Linked DNA regions of Kluyveromyces lactis. The protein of the gene in region 2 interacts with the protein of the main gene of each other region in a pairwise test. Links are inferred from orthologs where the notes say so. Each region holds a gene or a part of one and is shown on either strand. Other genes may lie near its edges.

Region 1 (5,193 bases), on a different chromosome or scaffold from region 2:
TGGGCTTCAGTTTGTAAAACTTTCGCTCCATGGTTTTCGATCAGAACATGATGAAAAAGAAATTCAAACACGTGACCGCTAACGCAGAGAAACAGGTCCTGGTTATACCGTTTGTAGTCTGTGCGCGGACGTCTTTCGAAGGCGCAAGATGTAGGCAAGCCTCAAAAACGGTAATATGGGCTTCCCACAGATAATTGTTGGGTTTAGTACTCAGTTAGAAATCACACAATCGTCGTTTACTCACCTGCAAGCTGAATCTGCAACGTATTATTTGTATCTGCATGATATTCTCCCATATTATTTCATAGGAAAATAAAGGAAATCCAACAAGTGTGAGCTTTAAAGAAGAATATATTTAAAGGTACTAAAGTAAAAGTCAACGGGACTGCTGGCTCTATTTGTTGCTGAACATCTTGTTTTAACTTACAGGGTAAATACAACGGTTATTTTTTAGATTGAACAGCTTACACGCCTAATACAATGGACACCTCACATGAAAGACTGTTTCGTTTGCCCTTCAAGTTGCCAACTTCGGTATCGGCCAAAAAGGTGTGCGTTTATGTAGCTGGTGCCTTATACGGTGCGGGTCTCTGGTCCTTCTTAGATTGTGTGTTGTACTCCAAGCATGCAAATGGTTCAGATTTGCACATTTCATTTATTGACTGGGTGCCAATGCTATGCAGTGTGCTTGGGATGGCAATTGTGAGTTCTATCGAAAAAAATAGATTGCTACAAGACGCTTTATCCTCAGGAACGTTCACCGGATCTCAATCTACTGCATGGCAGGCCAGAGTAGTACTTTTCCTAGGATTTTCACTGTTAGCAAGCGGCATTTCCGGTTCTTTGGTCGTTTTGATTGTTAAGTTTTTATTGAAGGATTATACCTCCTATCCAACCTTAGGAATGGGAATTAACAATGTGCTTGCAAACCTGGCTATTCTTCTAAGTTGCACCATGTTATGGATTGGACAAAATGTGGAGGATGAATATAACTATTCATTGACTCTATGATGTGTCAATGAAACTTCGTGAAGTATCATATTGGATTGCCGTATTTAAGAACAGTGTACAGATATAGCCTTCTGCATGTATACGTATAAATACCTTCCCAATTTTAAAACGTATTAGAAACGGTCAATTATTCCTATGACTCAACAGCCCCTCTATGAGTTGTACATGTCTCATTTTATTATCTCTGGAACACAATTAGCATGAACGGTAACGTACGATAAATTGGTAACGGGCTAAGCCTGGAGTGCTGAATGAAGAATATCGATGTATTAGAAGAGCGTAGAATTAATAATAATAATAATAATAATAATAATAATAATAATAATAATAATAATAATAATAATAATAATAATAATAATAATAATAATAATAATAATAAAATAAAAGATTAAAGGTAAGATAAACAGCAGGATTGAAAAACAATGATGCTGAGAACTGGATTTAGAGGACGTAGAATCATCGGAAAGACTGTCCTTGAGATAGTTTATCGTAGCTTGTGAAATGCATTGAAGTTGATACAAAGGATTACAGAAAGGAAAAAAATGTCAAGAGGCAAGAATCAATCTTGCTTTGGCTGTATCTTTGGAAAAAGGTCGCCAATGACTTGCAATTCGAAATCAGAGAAGTCATAAAGAGGAGGTAAATGTTTAGGTTGTGAACTTCCGCTAGGGAAGAAATAGCGCTCATTTCTTAAATCATCAAAGAATGGATGTGCAAGGATCCTTCTTGGAGAAGCTCTTCTTTCAGGTTCGTATACCAACACACTCATCAACAAATCAACACCATCTGGTCCAGCGTAGCCGAAATATTTCTCGAATCTTGCTTTTGGAGCTCCTTCAAATAATGGCTTGGAGAATAAAGGTCCATTGTACGATGGATTAGAAAAAAAGATGAACCTTTTGTCAGGAGGCCCGAGTAATTTTGTGATTTCATGTAGTTGTAATAATGGTTGATGGCCTTGGAATACTGCTTTACCTAAGAGCATTTCTCCCAATACACATCCTAATCCCCAAATATCTATCTTTGTTGTGTATTGTGTACATCCTACAATCAATTCTGGAGCTCTATAATATCTTGAACAGATGTAACTAATCGATGGTTGGTTCGATTCTAACTTTTTCGCTGATCCAAAATCACAAATCTTCAATATACCCGTTTGTGGATCAACCAAGACGTTTGAAGGTTTTATGTCTCTATGGCATATTCCTAGTGCATGTAGGTAAAGCATACCTCTAGCAATTTGGTAGGCGTATAGTTTAACGTGCTTCAACGGTAACTCCAAGTTATTCTTCTTATATCGTAAAATTTCGTTTTGTAGCATTTCGGGCAAGCATTCCATCGCCAAATGTTGGTATAATTTATGATCTGTTGGTGAGATATGAGTGTAGAAATATTCCAATTTGACAACATTTGGATGGTCCGCAATTCGTAAAATCTCTAACTCTCTAGATTTATACTCAGTCTGAGCAGGAACCTTCTTAATGGCAAAAGGACCCAACCACTTCTGATTATCCGGTGTTAGGTAAGCTTGCACCACCGTGCCAAATGCACCTTGCCCAATTCGCTTATATTCCTTTACGAGCATTTCTCGCTTGACATTGGATTTATTACTGATGACATCATGAGCCACGTATTCATCTAATCTTTGCATAGACATGGCGAATCGCAATAAGGGGAAAGAAGACAGATAGTAACAGATACAAAAGCGATGCGATATCTATCGAATAAGAAAAAAATTACCACTTTTTGTTCGTTGTATTTCGCTCAAGTCTTCAAATTACAAACTTCAACCGTTATTTTGCAAGCAAACCTTAGAATATAGATATGTTCCTAACGGATGTAACGTGGATGGTTCAGGAAAAAAAGGGAAATATTGAATTGTAATGAATCAATAAAATCTGTATTAAATGAATTGATGAAATGAAATCGCTAATATTAATAAAAGCAACACAACAGGGGGAAAACACTCTTACTCAAGCAAGTCAATTAGTCCCTTGCAACAAGTGATGCAGCAGTGTCTATAATGTTTCTTCGCAGTAAATTCTTCGCGCTGCAATCGCTCGGCAAATTCAACAACTAGAAGTTCCCAGAACTTAAACGTTTGAGCACCCTTAGCAGTGTTGTGTCCGTTATCAGAGACCCTATTTGTTACTTTGAAACAAGGTTCTGGTTTATTTTTTGTTTGTTTTTTCCTAATTTCCTAAAACTAAAATTGATTTTCATATTCGGTTTTCCAAGAATCTGATATCAATATGACTGACTGACTACTGACTGAGTTACACAATTATTGATAAAAGCGATATAAAAGACGTTCTAATTGAGGGAACGTTCCAAACAAAATTTAATTCTAAGATCTCCCAGAGCCAGCTTTTATGAAGTTCGACTCTGAGAGTACTACACTCTCTCTAGATATGAATGCACAAACGAAGTTAAATTGGCATTTATAGCATTAATGAGGAATTACTCAGGTTCAGGTCCTATATCCTCCACCTGAACTTTCTCTTGATTGTAGCATCAAGTTGTAGAAATGGTTTGGGGAATGCGAGGTGATCTTCGCCAGTCTGCATATAATATTTCTATCAAATGTTTACCCCATCGCATCTCGGCACTCTTTATCAACGTGATATCTTCCGCCAGTGGACTGCAGGCACTTCACATTAAAGGCTAATCCTTATACACCGGGTAATGACAAGTTAGTCACGTGTTAATGCAACACCGGGTAATGGTTTATGAGCATATCTTGAAAATGAATTGGGAAAACAGAAGATATTTAGAGTTTGCATTTCATAGAGGAATACTATTCGTCTGAGTATGGAGACCTGCATTCGAGAAAGACACAGGTTGTGGTTAATATAAATCGGCGTCGAAAATACACCACGATGCTGAGAACATTAGTGAGACTGTTCAGCTCAACGGCCAGGACAAACCAAGATGTGGCTTCCATCTTATTTTCATCTGTCAAAGGATCAGAAAAGGCTCCAGTGATGGAAGACACCAATGTTGTCCAACCTAATACTCTTCGTGGTAGCAATAAGAAAGGGAGAGTCGATGAAGCAGTGATAAAATATATATTGAACTGCAGATTCACTAAGAACAATACACATTTCACATACAGTGCCGTAATGGAGGATAGAAACTTTTTGGCGAACAATCCACAATTATCCTACAACGAAAAATATCTATACTATTTGAAACTCCCACAACAGGTCAAATTTCATTTATCTACTGGTCATTTAGGGTTCCGTAAAGCTGCCCGTGGTGAATATGAAGCCTCATTCCAAACAGCAACTAAGTTATTTGAAACTCTTTATCAGAAGAAGCTACTGGATAAGAATATAGAAATTGTTATGAGAGACTTCGGTAAGGGAAGAGATGCTTTCATCAGTGCATTGAACGGTAAGGAAGGAAACCTCATCAGACGTCACATATCTAGAGTAGCCGATGCTACTGAATTGAAATTCGGTGGTGTGAAGGCCCCAAGACCAAGAAGATTGTGATTCGGTCTCTCACCATTTCATCTTTCACTAATAGTCTCTGTGTATAGACATGAATTTGGAAAATAATTCGGTATAATAACAAATAATGCATGTATATAAATTTAACGTAACGCACCAGAATTTTCGTTTAAATACATTAAGACAGCAATTCGAAGTATGATTTCACACAATTATGACATTGCTCATGCCTTATAATCTCTGGATGCTAATTTCATCGAAGATTTAAAATTTTCCGGAAAGTAGCGGGACTGTTTTGTGGATGCACGGATTTGGCTTTAGATTTTTTGTAAAAATTGTTAGGTATTTTAGTATTCCATTTTAGGTAATTAAAATTTCAATTGGAGGTTCTAAAAAAAGGAAAGGCAGAGGAGGCGTTCCGGCTGCCAGGTTCTCACCGTTCTCCTTCTGTCGCTCCGTTCGAGTCTAGTCTTCCCAGCGAGAGGACTCTGATTCTGCCCACTCTCCCCTCTACTCGCACTGACATTCTGAGGTGCGTAGGCAGGAACTGCTGTCCATCCAGCCTATCATCCATTCCTTCCCTGAGCCTGGAGCCATATCCTGTACCTGCAAATCACAGTGCGATTGTGCTACCTGGCCAGGGATACCCTGTTCGTGCTGAATATTCCTTTCGACTACGGACAGTTTCGCTTGCGACCTTGTATCTGTATTGTTTCATCAAAAGTAA
Region 2 (5,791 bases):
TCTCTCAAGAATTAGCCATCGCCAATGCTACCGAGTTAGTTAACAAAGTCACTGAGAACTGTTTTGAGAAATGTCTGAATGCTCCATATGCTGCTTCTCAAGATAACTGCGTCGACCAATGTTTGGCTAAATATATGAGAAGTTGGAATGCCATTTCAAAGGCTTACATTAACAGAATTCAGCAAGCTTCGGTTAACGGTGAAATCTAAGGGGCGCAACTTTTGAGATAAAAGAAGTTATTTAATGCTCTGATTCATTACAAGCTACATGTATATAGATTTGTATAATGTTATATTCGCGTCTTACGTATAATCATACATTATGAATGCTATTTCATACCCGTCGAATAAATTCAGGTATATATATATAAACAAAAGTACGGTATTGGTACACAAATAATGGGTAATTCTTTTTTATTATCGTATAGACATGATTAATACACAGAAACAGCACAAACAATACATTGTATTTAAATACAATTGAGCCGCATATGTGATTGATTGATGAGATTTCAAATAAGTGAGTTGAAAATAAATAGGAGTAGAGGGAAAAACAGCTAACAACAAATAAGATGAACATCAATGCGCAGATATTCACGCTTTATGGTCATATATGTTTTACCCTTTTTATCTCTTGAATCGAGTGAGATTCCGATAGCGAAAAGGATGAATGTTATGAAAATCTGAGAACATCATTCCAAAGTTGATGTCCTAGGCCTGGTAGACGTATGGAGTGCCGGATAGATAAATGTTTCCCGACAGTAGCGTATCCACATTTTTAAAATATGTTTTGAAGTGACGGTATATTCTAAGAAGTAAAATAATTGAACAAAAGCATCAATGAAAAGACACTTAAAAGTATAATGATGAGAAATGATATAATTCAAATGTCAAAAGAAACTTATTCATCGTCTTCTTCATCTTCTTCACCACCGTTCATGATACCACCCTTGATATCTTTCCATAACTTACCTTTGTTGTGGTTTTCGTACCAAGAGGTCACACCAGTATCGAAGGCAGCTTGGAAAACGAAGGCAGAGGCGAACACGGTACCAACGAAAACAGAGTTTCTCTTAAAGACAGTTTTGTACAGAGTAGAGGCGAAAGACTGTGATAATTAAGTTGTTCAGAAAAATAATTGTTAGTAATATGATCTAATATTTCATGTAGTCAATCCGCAATGATCTGGGAAAACAGCCGCTGGATTTTGCCCAGAAGGTGTCCATTCTTCACTTGTTTGATGTAACTGATATACATGCGATAAGCCATGGTCGTACTTCGAAGATAAATGTAGTATTGAGACTGCCTTTCTATTATATGGAGATATCGGTCATACCTCCAGGGAACCTTAACAGGCATCGGAAACACCACGGGATATGCAGACATTCAGCTTTGGAAGTATATTTCACTAATAATAGTATAATTGTACATTAGCATCTGCTCAATGTAATTTGCATCGTGTTTACAAACAGTTTTTTCAGTTCCCAGTTTTCGGTTTCTCAATTCCAGAAGTCAAATAAGACATCTACGCCAAAATCAATGTTTTCAGATCCAGAAAAGACGCATATCATATGTATTATCCATGACTAATCAAATCATTAACATACCATTTCTAAAACGGGAGTTCTGGTTTCTGTTGAGCTGAACTTTTTCTTATTAAACCTTGTCTTTGGCATCAGTCGAAGTTAGCTTTCCGTTTTATACATTTATCCAGTTTTTCAAAAATTTGAAGAAAAGTTCCGTACTCGGATATAATTGGGTCGTATGGTATGATATCCAGAAGTAATCACGTGCAAAAGTCTAGTACTGGGAGTACTTTCAACATGAATTATCAAAGGGTGGGACAGAGTCAGGCTACAATAAAAGATTCTGTAAGATATTGGACGGCATAGTATCCTGTGGTCAGTCCACTCCACATATTGCAGATTTATGCAAAACTAGTAAAAATATCTTATATCGATGTGTGCATAAACGAAATAACGTGCTATTCTATATATATTTGGTACATTGAAGTTGTGAATGGTGCCATAAGGTTAAGGCAATTTTGAGGTGTGACGAGCAAAAAGTTATTCATTCTACGTTATTTAACTCGTTGAAATCAAAACCTTCTTCTGCAGAACTGTATTCCGTGTCTTGATCTTCCGAAGCGTTGTTTTCGTGCTCTTCGTCCTCACCATCTTCATTGCCGTCACTTTGATCATTCAGTTCAAAGTGCTCTCTATTTCTATCTGCACGGCCGAAGAATCCATTCATTGCATTTCCTTGCAGTTGTTCAATGATATCTTCTGTAGTCGGAATGTCTGCGCCATCACCTTGCATACCCCCTCTCATGTTTTGAACAAACTCGAAAAAATCATGTATGTCACCTCTTTCGGTTGGTAATCTTATAGGGATATCTCCACCGAATGGTCCACCATTGATGCGTAATTCAACATCAGGCTGTCTAAACCTTAGATCTGGACGATCATCATTCCCAAACTCATCATCGTTCATAAGGTCCTCGTCACTGCTCTCCCCACCAGCGTTGAAAGCAGCACCAGGTCTCCAAAACATGTTCCTCGTAAATGTTCGGTTATTTGCCATCGCAACCCTGAATTCGTCCCCCATTACTCGGCTGATATAACCGGGGATACCATTTGAAATCCAAAGACGAGTTAAATGTTCATATCTAGCATGATTTAATACTGTTAGATCACCTCGTTCGATAGCGTTTCTTCCTGATTCACCGTGTGAGTTCAAATAAGGGGCCGAAATGTTGACGGTACAGTCCGGTCTACTTAAATAGAGGCACACTTGACTGATATTAGGAATTAAAAACAACCCACTGGAACCATGGGAACACCTTTCCATGTGCTTTTGCATTTCAAGGCCATCTGTACGTGCGTGAATCTTGACACCACATATCAAACAAATTTTATAATCAAGTCTGTTGACAGTATTTCTAATTTTTTGATCATTCTCTTCACGCAAAGTAATGTTTTTATTATTAGTCACATAAGTATTCAAATGAGTTGCTAAATCGGTTAATTTGATGATACTGCAGTACTCATGTGGAGCATTAACCAAGGAGCTTTCAGGGGAGAGAGGAGAATGCGAATTCATCAACAAGTCATAAAAATCAGTCTGGAGCAAAAATCTTATCAAAAGATGGAAATGTTTTTCTTTGCTTTCGGAAGTAAGGCTACCACTCAGCACATCTTTTTCATTAAAATCTAAATCATCCCCCCCTGTCATAAATTGCTTTAAGGCCTTCAGCAAGATAATTGATCTCCTTAGCGTAGGTAGCAATTCAGAAATTAAGAAGGTATAGAACAAATCCAAGGTGTGCTTTTCAACTTGATCACCAAATCCAGCTCCTAATATCGTTGTTTTCAATACAATTGAAAATTCAGAGGAGTCAAGGCAAGTCTGGGCTCGAAGCTCGGATTCATATTTCCTATAGAAAGACCCAAAGTCTTTTGTCAGACCCTTCAAACGCTCCACGAGTACTTCCTGTAAACAATCCTTAAAGGAAAGTCTAGACCTTAATACCGTTTCAACAACTCGGAAAAACGGATAACTTGGTAAATTGCTGCTACGAATATCTTCATAGAATTTGAGTACATTCTCTTCAGTATGCTTAGTTAATCGTGTGTAGACAGCCAAGGACTTGAGAATGTTCTGCAGTGTCTTAAATTTCTGTTCTTCACCTGATAAGAGTGTTCCAAAAGGATCTTTATTAAGCCTGGACAACATCTCTAGCATACAGATGTTGTTAGAAAACTGAAGAGAGAGAGTTAAAAACCTATCCTGGATCCAAGTAGGATCATTGCGATTTAACCGTAGACCATTGTTAGAATCTTTGAGAGATAGTATTATTTTTCCAACTTCGTCGTTACATTCAGAGCTGTACTCAGAAAAAGTTAGCAATAAAGATTCATCCAAGCCTCCAGTCAATTTCTGTTGCAAAAGCCTATCACCAGATTGAAGTTTAACTGTATCGACAGGTATGACTGAATTACAATACGTTTGACATAATGGGCAGATGAAGAGATCTGTACTATACCGCTTCTTATCAATATAATGTTTGAAACAGCGATAGTGCACGGCATGATTACAAGATACAAGAACCTTCTGTGTAGACTCATGCATTAGTTGACTAGCTCCGTTTTCTTTTTTCTTGTAAAACAAATCTGTGTTATAAGTGGCGAGGTGTTCGTTATTGTCAAAGCCATGCCATGGTTTGTATATTTCCATTGGCGTAGGGTTGGACGATAGAAAGACAGGAGAGTAGTTTTGATAAATTGGGATAACAAAAAAATCATCTGACACATCGTCATGACAAAGAGAGCAGTGAAATTCATTGAGTTCTCCTGCCAGATCTTCTCCGTCCATATCCACATCTTCGTCATTACCAGCACTGTACTCCTCGTGCTTGTCCATGAATTTTTTCTGCTGACGGGAGAATCTATTCATAATCTGTTGTTGACGATTTTTGGCTAACCTTCTTTTACGCTCCTGCTCTGTCTCCTCGAAATTTACACCTTGATTTGCTTTTCTGATTTTGTAGTCCGCGATGTACTTTGTTCCGAAACACTCTGTTAGAGATTCTAAAACTGCCGTTGGGCGCTTCATGATCATGTTATCTAGAAGGTAATCAGCAGTTGCCACGACATTCTCAGAAAACGATCCGCTTTCAGAGTCAACAATGCTCAATAACAAATCACATATTGGTTTGCTAATATACGCCTCTGGCAAAGAATCTTTACCATTGACCATTTCGTCGTCTCTAAAAATGGCATGAATTAAATGAAGTAGCTCGTAAGTAAACGAAAAACTGGAATCGGAGACAGCCAACTTTAATAGCTTGAATATCAACTTCGCAAAGAGATTTGTTCTTGTGAAGCTTCCTAGTTCTCGCGCACATGGGTCTAATTCATCTAATTCAAGTAATTGGGGTTTGACAATTATTTTGGCCCGTTTTTCCTTGCTATCAGCTAAATGTGACTTAACAATCGTGGCACTATGTTCAAAATCATTTCCCATATTCAGTAACCGCAGGGAATCTATTCTCTTGTAGAGTTCCTTCTTTAGTTTGAAAACACCATTATCTTCGAGCCCTTTGGGCTCAATGTACGTAGAAACTTCTTCGAGAACTGTATCAAATTGGGAAACACTTTCAGTAAGGTAATCGGGTATATCGTTCAATAAGTCAGTGTATGATAGTGGTTCAGCGTATAGTTTATAAATAATGGCATTCTTAATGTTGTACAATTGTGTTTCTTCCAGGGTATCGAACTTTTTATAAAAGTCTCTTTCCACCAATATCTGATATAGGAATGCAACGAATTGTTGAATAATCGACGATATTTTATCATCGTACACTGTCTCTGTCGAGGGAACACTTCCATCAAACCAGTCAAGTAATTCCCACCTATCTAACATGTTATAGATGACTCTTTGAAAATCGTTTTTTTCAATTAGAAACGCCAATTGATTAAGTTGTATGTCTCTGCTATAGGAGCTCATTTCAGGATTGTTCTTGTAATATGCTGACTGGTGAAGAACTGACATACCATTTCTAACCCAAAATCCTATATCGATTTGCGAACATAAGACGACAGATCTCAAAGCAAAATCCGAAATAACTAGATAGTCTTTGGATTGAGATAAAACTTGAATTGACACCTGTAAGGGAACATGCTGCACAAGGAAAGAAAACAAAGTATGAACGGGATTCATAAATGAAACTCGTTCTTTGCTGATTTGGAATTTTATGATTTCAAAGTCTTTGTATAATTTGTATGACAAGT
Region 3 (6,309 bases), on a different chromosome or scaffold from region 2:
ATTTGGGTTTTAAGTTTTTGAAACCGCCAAGAGGTAGTTTCGGAGAGCCAGTGATGAATTGTAAGAACAAACGTTTCTGTTGTGTCGAAAAATTCGACAAAATATCTATGAGGTCTGTTATGATTGGAGAATCCATCGAGTAGCCATGGTCTGCATGAATGGATGAGTATAGCGTTTGCACAGACCAATCTTCAGCAACTGCACCAAACAAATCGGATAGTTCTGTCGGAGTTAAGATTAGCAATGATGAATAAGGGAATGATTTCGAAAATCCGTTCCTGAAGGCAGCGAGCTGCATATCTACGCCTTTGCCCAAAAATTGGTCAAAGACACGAATCAAGTACTCTTCCACGTTGAAAGATTCAACTAAGATTTTCGAACCACCTTCCAACAATTCTATATCATAACCAGGCAGCATGAAATATAGGTCAAGGTTTTTGATAGAGTCATCATGACGATTATCATACAAAAATGCGAGTGATTTTCCTAGTTGAACATCAAACTGTCCTACGAGGTGGATACAAGTTTCGAAGTCTTCTAGGTCAAGTCGATCATTCTTGCAGCATTTGTGCATCAACTCGAAGAAAACAGCGTTAAATCTAAAATCGAGAATCCTATTATCTAACATTGACCTAGCGACTAAGGTCCCCAAGTTTTCGAATAATTTCAAAGTCTTTTCGTTATTCTCCTCGGTGGTGCCCAATAATGGTCCAGGGAACAATGCACCTGTCACATACTCCTCCTCATCATCACTGGTATCACTATTGGTCTTCCACATTTTTAGAGACTTCCTTGCAAATTCTTTCGACATCAAAGAGTAAAATTCGAGAGTGGGTCCTAACCCTGTACCTTCTTCATCTTTGTATTCGATCTCCAATACGTTTGGCGAAGAACCATACTTTTTTAGAATTTTGATGCCGGACAAAAATAGTGAGTCTCTTGAAACCCTCAACTTGTGTCTAGTCAACCTGCCTAATTGATGCAATGGATTTTCAGTAGGGTTACTATGGTGCTGATCTGCCAGCTTTTCCCTCCAGTATTGGATCAATCTGCCATATCCATATGATGTATTCTGTAAGAAGTTCATTCTAGTTTCAAATGGAAACAAAAATCCATATTTTCTCGTGATATCGAGGACCCAACTTGGTAAGACCCCACATGCCACAATAAGTGGCTCTTCAAGTTGACGGGAAAGCTTAGCACTAATCTTTGGATTCACATAAATAGATGCTGGGAGTGATTTATGTTGGCAACATTGTAGAACTGTCAAAATACCATTGACAGGCTTCAAATCCGCCCCTTCAAAAGCTGTATCGGGGTAAAGCACATGCAATTGATGTGACTCCCTTCTTTTTACTGATTTCTTGAACTTAAAAGTAGGTACGTTAGTCCAGATACTCGTTGTGGGTAACCCTTCTTTCATCGCCTCTTTGAATATAATAGAGTAAATAGTTGACGATTGATCTAAAAGATGGTCATTCAACGAAAAGTCAAATTGTATGTTTTCAAGTTCTTTGGCAACATTTGTAGGGTTGGCTTGTTGATTAGCACGACTCATGCTCGGAATGATAGAAGTCAAAAATTCCGATTGCACAATCTTGTGTTTCAAGAATTCATCAAGTGTTTTCAAAGATGCAACGCAATGCACGGCAATTACAACATCTTGAAGAGTTTCTGGAACAGTATCTTTTCCCACTTCATCATCGGCCGGCTCATGAACTAATCTTATTTTCATCTGTTTGATTAACGAGGCACTTGGAGAATCGTTGCTACTGGCACCAGCATCTAGGATGGCAAAGGTTTCCGTCCTAGACAATGCATTTTGTAGTAGCTTCACAAATTCAGGCAATTTTTCCTCGAACACTTTCAGAAAAGTCCTCTTGGAGAATGATTGTTTCGTTGAATCAGTTTCAAAGATATTAGCCATAGAATCAATGAGACCAGTGGAAATGAGCTCGAAGCCAGATATGTTGGACATATCATCAAATAATGAGGATTTTACAGCAGTCCAGAAATCCATCCAATATTGTTCGGAATCAGATTGAACATCCAGTTCCTTCATCTTAGTGACAACAGCATTAATTTCAGAAAGCTCGCTGGAGACTTCTTCTTGGTTAGATGAAAACAACTCTAGTAGTGTAGCACTAAACATGGAAACATGTTTTATTAGGTAATAAGGAGTCAAATGATCGTAGATATTAATGCGGATTTTTCTCGGTTTGACAAATTCAGGTATGTTCATGTCGTCGTACTCCATCCTGTAACTGTCTTTTTCTTCATCATCATCTTCATCTTCAATGTCAGAATCAGATCCAAAAACAGGATGAGAATCAGAGTTTTCCGGACGTATATGATATCCTGACTTCTCGGCTTCATCTGATGACGATTCCTGTTTATCAATACTATCTTTCTTGCTGAGCTCATAACTGTAGTGAGAATTCAAAGAGGTTAAAGCATCTGGTATACCTTCTTTTCTTAGTTTCGGTAGATACAAATCCGGATTATTAGACATCATGATAGAAATTAACGAAAGCAGTGCTACTAGTACTGCACTGGTCTCAGTCTTCATATGATCTTGTTGCGCATTTGAACCATTGATGAGACCAGAGGATATTATGTTAATAACGGACGAACTAGGAATATCGTAGCCATGAGGTATAGACGTGAACACCCTAGCCAATGCAACAAGAACTGTATATCTAATCTTAGTATCCACTGTATTGGAATATATTTCCACCAAACAAGGAATCAACTCATTGACTAGTTCAAGGAATTTATCCTCATTTCCGTCAAATGTGAAAACTTTGACCTCATCGGCTGTCAAGATTTGAGAATCTTCAGTTGGGAGCAAAAGTAAGAGGAAAGTTGTTACCGACAACAAAAGCTCTTTAGGAACATAAATCAAAGTTTCACTGAAGGTGGAAGATGCTGATTTCTTATAAGACTGGAAAACGTTTTGAATAACTTTGTTCAACTCACAATCCAATAGGATTTGTTTTGACAATTCAACATTGGTGGAGACCAAGAGTGATGAAATATCCAAGACTTTCAAAACAGATTCACGTTCAATCTCTGAAGAAGATAACAACGACAATAACCTTTTAACCAACTCGAAGTCAAAGAGTTTAGATAATGATTTCTTGTTCAAAGATCCTGAAATGCTGTAAAGTGTTATGAGAACTGGCTTCAAAATTACTGGATTTGTACTATTTAGGAAGATAGATTTCAAGATGGGGAAAATCTCTGATACCACCTCGAAGTCACTTTCCTTAGCCCTAGCACATGAGTTCGCAACGATAGATAATGATTTTTTCTGCGCATGGACGGTAAAGAAATCCAAATATTGCAAACAAGAGAGAAGGGTACCGCTTCTTAAAATCTTAGATCCATGTACCCTTGAAATGAACTCTAAACACTCCAAAACTTGTTCTGCCAAATCGATATAGCTTATCTCATTCAATTTCCCTCTCAATATCTCAATAATATCTCTATTAACCGAAACCTCTATCATTTCTGGGTTCATCTCATAGTAGTTATAGAGACACCTACAAGCAATTAATTGTAACTCCAACTCTGCTTGTAATAATGGGCTAGACAATACATGGATCAAAGCGTCCATTAACTTGCCAGATGGGATGATTCGATCAGCGATCAAAGGGTTTAACATCAATAGCTGTTCAGATAATTCCCGGAGAGATTCCATAGCAATATACGGATCGTCTTCAGCTTGAAGCACATTCTCAATCAATTTCAAATACCGAGAATTTCCTCTGCTAACACCGAAAAACCCTTCAGACCTTCCTAGTTCTTGCAACAGATCTGGCAATGAACGTCCAAATGCACGCTCCGAATCAGCTTCCTCGCCTTCAGCAACATCACCATCCCCACTTTCACCAGATCTTTGATCCGCTAGACGAGAAACAATATCTTGTAGAAACGAAATCCTGTCCGCACGGTCCCCAGAACGGCTTTCATGATAAACATTCCCTATCTCACCTTCTACTTCCTCATCGTCTTGATCTTCATCTTGATCTTCGTCCAACTGCTCTCCTTGCGATCCATCTTCTTCCCCGTCTTCGTCTTCATCATCATCATCATCGTGATGGACAAACTCTAAATCATCTTCATCCTCTGGATAAGAATATTCGCCAGATTCAACATCATCACTTTCATGGCTACCGTTCGCATCTTCATATATGATATAGTCGCCATCGCCATCGTAATAACTCATCTTTTCAAAACCCTTTCCTGTTTCAAATCACAAATAAGAGGCAAAATTACTATCTAAAATTTCTAGTTCACAACCCGGTATCTCTTACCACCTTAATAATTGGTATCTTAGAGGTTGTTAGACTTTGGCAAGCAATACAAGAGGTATGTTTAACTCGCCGGCTGTTCATATCAAACCAACTAGTTTGTTTCCTGCTAAATATGTACTGAGATTGCAATTTCCTGACTCTGAACTTTTAAGGTACATTTTGGTCCGGTACACTGCGGTTTTATCTGAGGAAAATATACACAATACCCGTCGCCACAAGTAATGAGTCACGTGACTAAGTTTACTTCCCCATTTACAATACATCTCCGGTAATAGGTTAAATCATTACCACTATATCTACTTGCCCGATACACGATCATGCCCTATCTGTGCCTTTCTAGTCTTGATATTTGTGTTGAATTGAGATCTATTGTCTCATTGGCAATGAGTGAGAGACTCAGAAATCAGTCAAGGGAATTCATACCGGAGTTTGGTTTTGCAGTTCCTTAGAATAAACCTCTCTAACCGAGCTTATGAGAATGGCCCTAGAGCATTGCAAAAGAGCCGGTATATGTCTTACCGATTCACTTTGTGTCAGAGGTCGTTACTTTCCGTTTGGAAAAATCAAATCACGTGACTCACAACTAGAAAGAAAAAGAAAGGCGCAAATTTTTCAGTTTGAGAAAGCTCATCTCATCGCATCTACTCGATGGACCTTTCATAGTTTAAACTGATCAACAGTACTAATCGCTATATTCTATCAGTTGTATTCCTCTTTATTTATCTCTCTTCTGTAATTGAATAGTGTTCTGATAATTGTTTACTTTTCGTTACTCTTTATCATCAAGCTACTACATATACCAACCCAGATACGATGCCAAGATCTAAGCGTTCAAAGTTGGTTACATTGGCCCAAACCGATAAGAAGGGTAGAGAGAACAAGGAAAGGATATTCGATGAAGTTAGAGAAGCCTTGGATTCTTTCAGATACGCTTGGGTTTTACATTTGGAAGATGTGAGAACTCCAGTTTTGCAAGAGATTAGAAGTTCTTGGGTTGGATCCAAGTTAATCATGGGTAAGAGGAAGGTGTTGGTGAAAGCGTTAGGTGAAAAGCCAGAGGAAGAGTACAAGGAGAACTTGGCCAAACTATGTAAGCACTGTTCTGGTGTTACTGGTCTATTATTTACCAACGAACCTGTCGATGTAGTGGAAGATTACTTCAAGGCATATGTGAGAGCTGATTTCTCCAGACCAAAATCAAAGGCTCCATTGTCTTTTACCATTCCAGCCGGTATTGTATACTCTCGTGGTGGTCAAATCCCAGAAGAAGAAGATGTGCCTATGATACATTCTCTGGAACCAACTCTAAGAAACAAGTTCAAGATTCCAACCAAAATTAAGAATGGTAAGATTACCATCGAATCTCCATACTTGGTCTGTGAAAAGGGCAAAACTCTAGATGTTACTCAAGCATTGATCTTGAAACAATTTGGTATAGCAGCTGCTGAATTCAGGGTGAAGGTTGCCGCATACTACGATAACGAAACTTCTAGTGTGGAACAGATCAATATCAACATGGATTCGAAATAAATCCAAAAATAAGAAAGCATTGCAGTGATAAACTATAAATATATATATATAATCATAACCTATATATTTCTCCTTTGTACATTAATCTCTTCTCTAGGAATCCTTTATCGAATACACGTACTGCCAATATTCGGTCAGATTCTTCCAACCTTGAGACATCATTCCCAGATCTGTCGCTGACACCATTCTGATACGCACAGCGTACTGATTTTCCAGTCGAAGCGATCCATGAAGGATGAGGTTACAATGTCGCAGCTGGGAGATTGACAGATCAAGAGTTTTCTGTGTCTCTTCTGATTCCAATTGTTCTTTCGTCATTAACAGGGACTCTAAACCGTAGATGATAATTTCTTCATAGCACATCGATGTGTTTCCTTTATTCTGGAGCTCAATCTCGACATATGTCAAGTACATATATAAATACTGTAATTTATCAAGGAACAGAATCCGCACGTTGGAT

What was found.
Region 1: the proteins of UBR1 (region 2) and MCK1 interact in binary tests that used the Saccharomyces cerevisiae proteins (3 or more experiments, as listed by UniProt). The link is inferred for Kluyveromyces lactis from reciprocal best matches to the Saccharomyces cerevisiae genes UBR1 and MCK1.
Region 3: the proteins of UBR1 (region 2) and UFD4 interact in a two-hybrid assay, tested with the Saccharomyces cerevisiae proteins (2 studies listed by BioGRID, with this or other methods). The link is inferred for Kluyveromyces lactis from reciprocal best matches to the Saccharomyces cerevisiae genes UBR1 and UFD4.

What each region holds. Positions count from the first base shown.
Region 1 is NC_006041.1:671,120-676,312, forward strand, and holds MCK1 (serine/threonine/tyrosine protein kinase MCK1), read right to left. Parts: upstream 2,669-5,193; coding exon 1,571-2,668; downstream 1-1,570. Other genes in the region: VPS68 (Vps68p), read left to right, coding at 481-1,011; MRPS18 (mitochondrial 37S ribosomal protein YmS18), read left to right, coding at 3,891-4,508. UniProt on the Saccharomyces cerevisiae protein: May be an autophosphorylating tyrosine kinase, a bifunctional (serine/tyrosine-specific) protein kinase, or a serine kinase that is a substrate for an associated tyrosine kinase.
Region 2 is NC_006042.1:1,408,387-1,414,177, forward strand, and holds the end of UBR1 (E3 ubiquitin-protein ligase UBR1), read right to left. Parts: coding exon 2,070-5,791; downstream 1-2,069. Other genes in the region: protein translocase subunit TIM13, read left to right, coding at 1-209; QCR9 (ubiquinol--cytochrome-c reductase subunit 9), read right to left, coding at 901-1,107, 1,607-1,675. UniProt on the Saccharomyces cerevisiae protein: Ubiquitin ligase protein which is a component of the N-end rule pathway. Recognizes and binds to proteins bearing specific N-terminal residues that are destabilizing according to the N-end rule, leading to their ubiquitination and subsequent degradation.
Region 3 is NC_006038.1:1,184,349-1,190,657, reverse strand, and holds the start of UFD4 (putative ubiquitin-protein ligase UFD4), read right to left. Parts: upstream 4,232-6,309; coding exon 1-4,231. Other genes in the region: mRNA turnover protein MRT4, read left to right, coding at 5,133-5,849; SHU1 (Shu1p), read right to left, coding at 5,943-6,309. UniProt on the Saccharomyces cerevisiae protein: E3 ubiquitin-protein ligase which accepts ubiquitin from an E2 ubiquitin-conjugating enzyme in the form of a thioester and then directly transfers the ubiquitin to targeted substrates.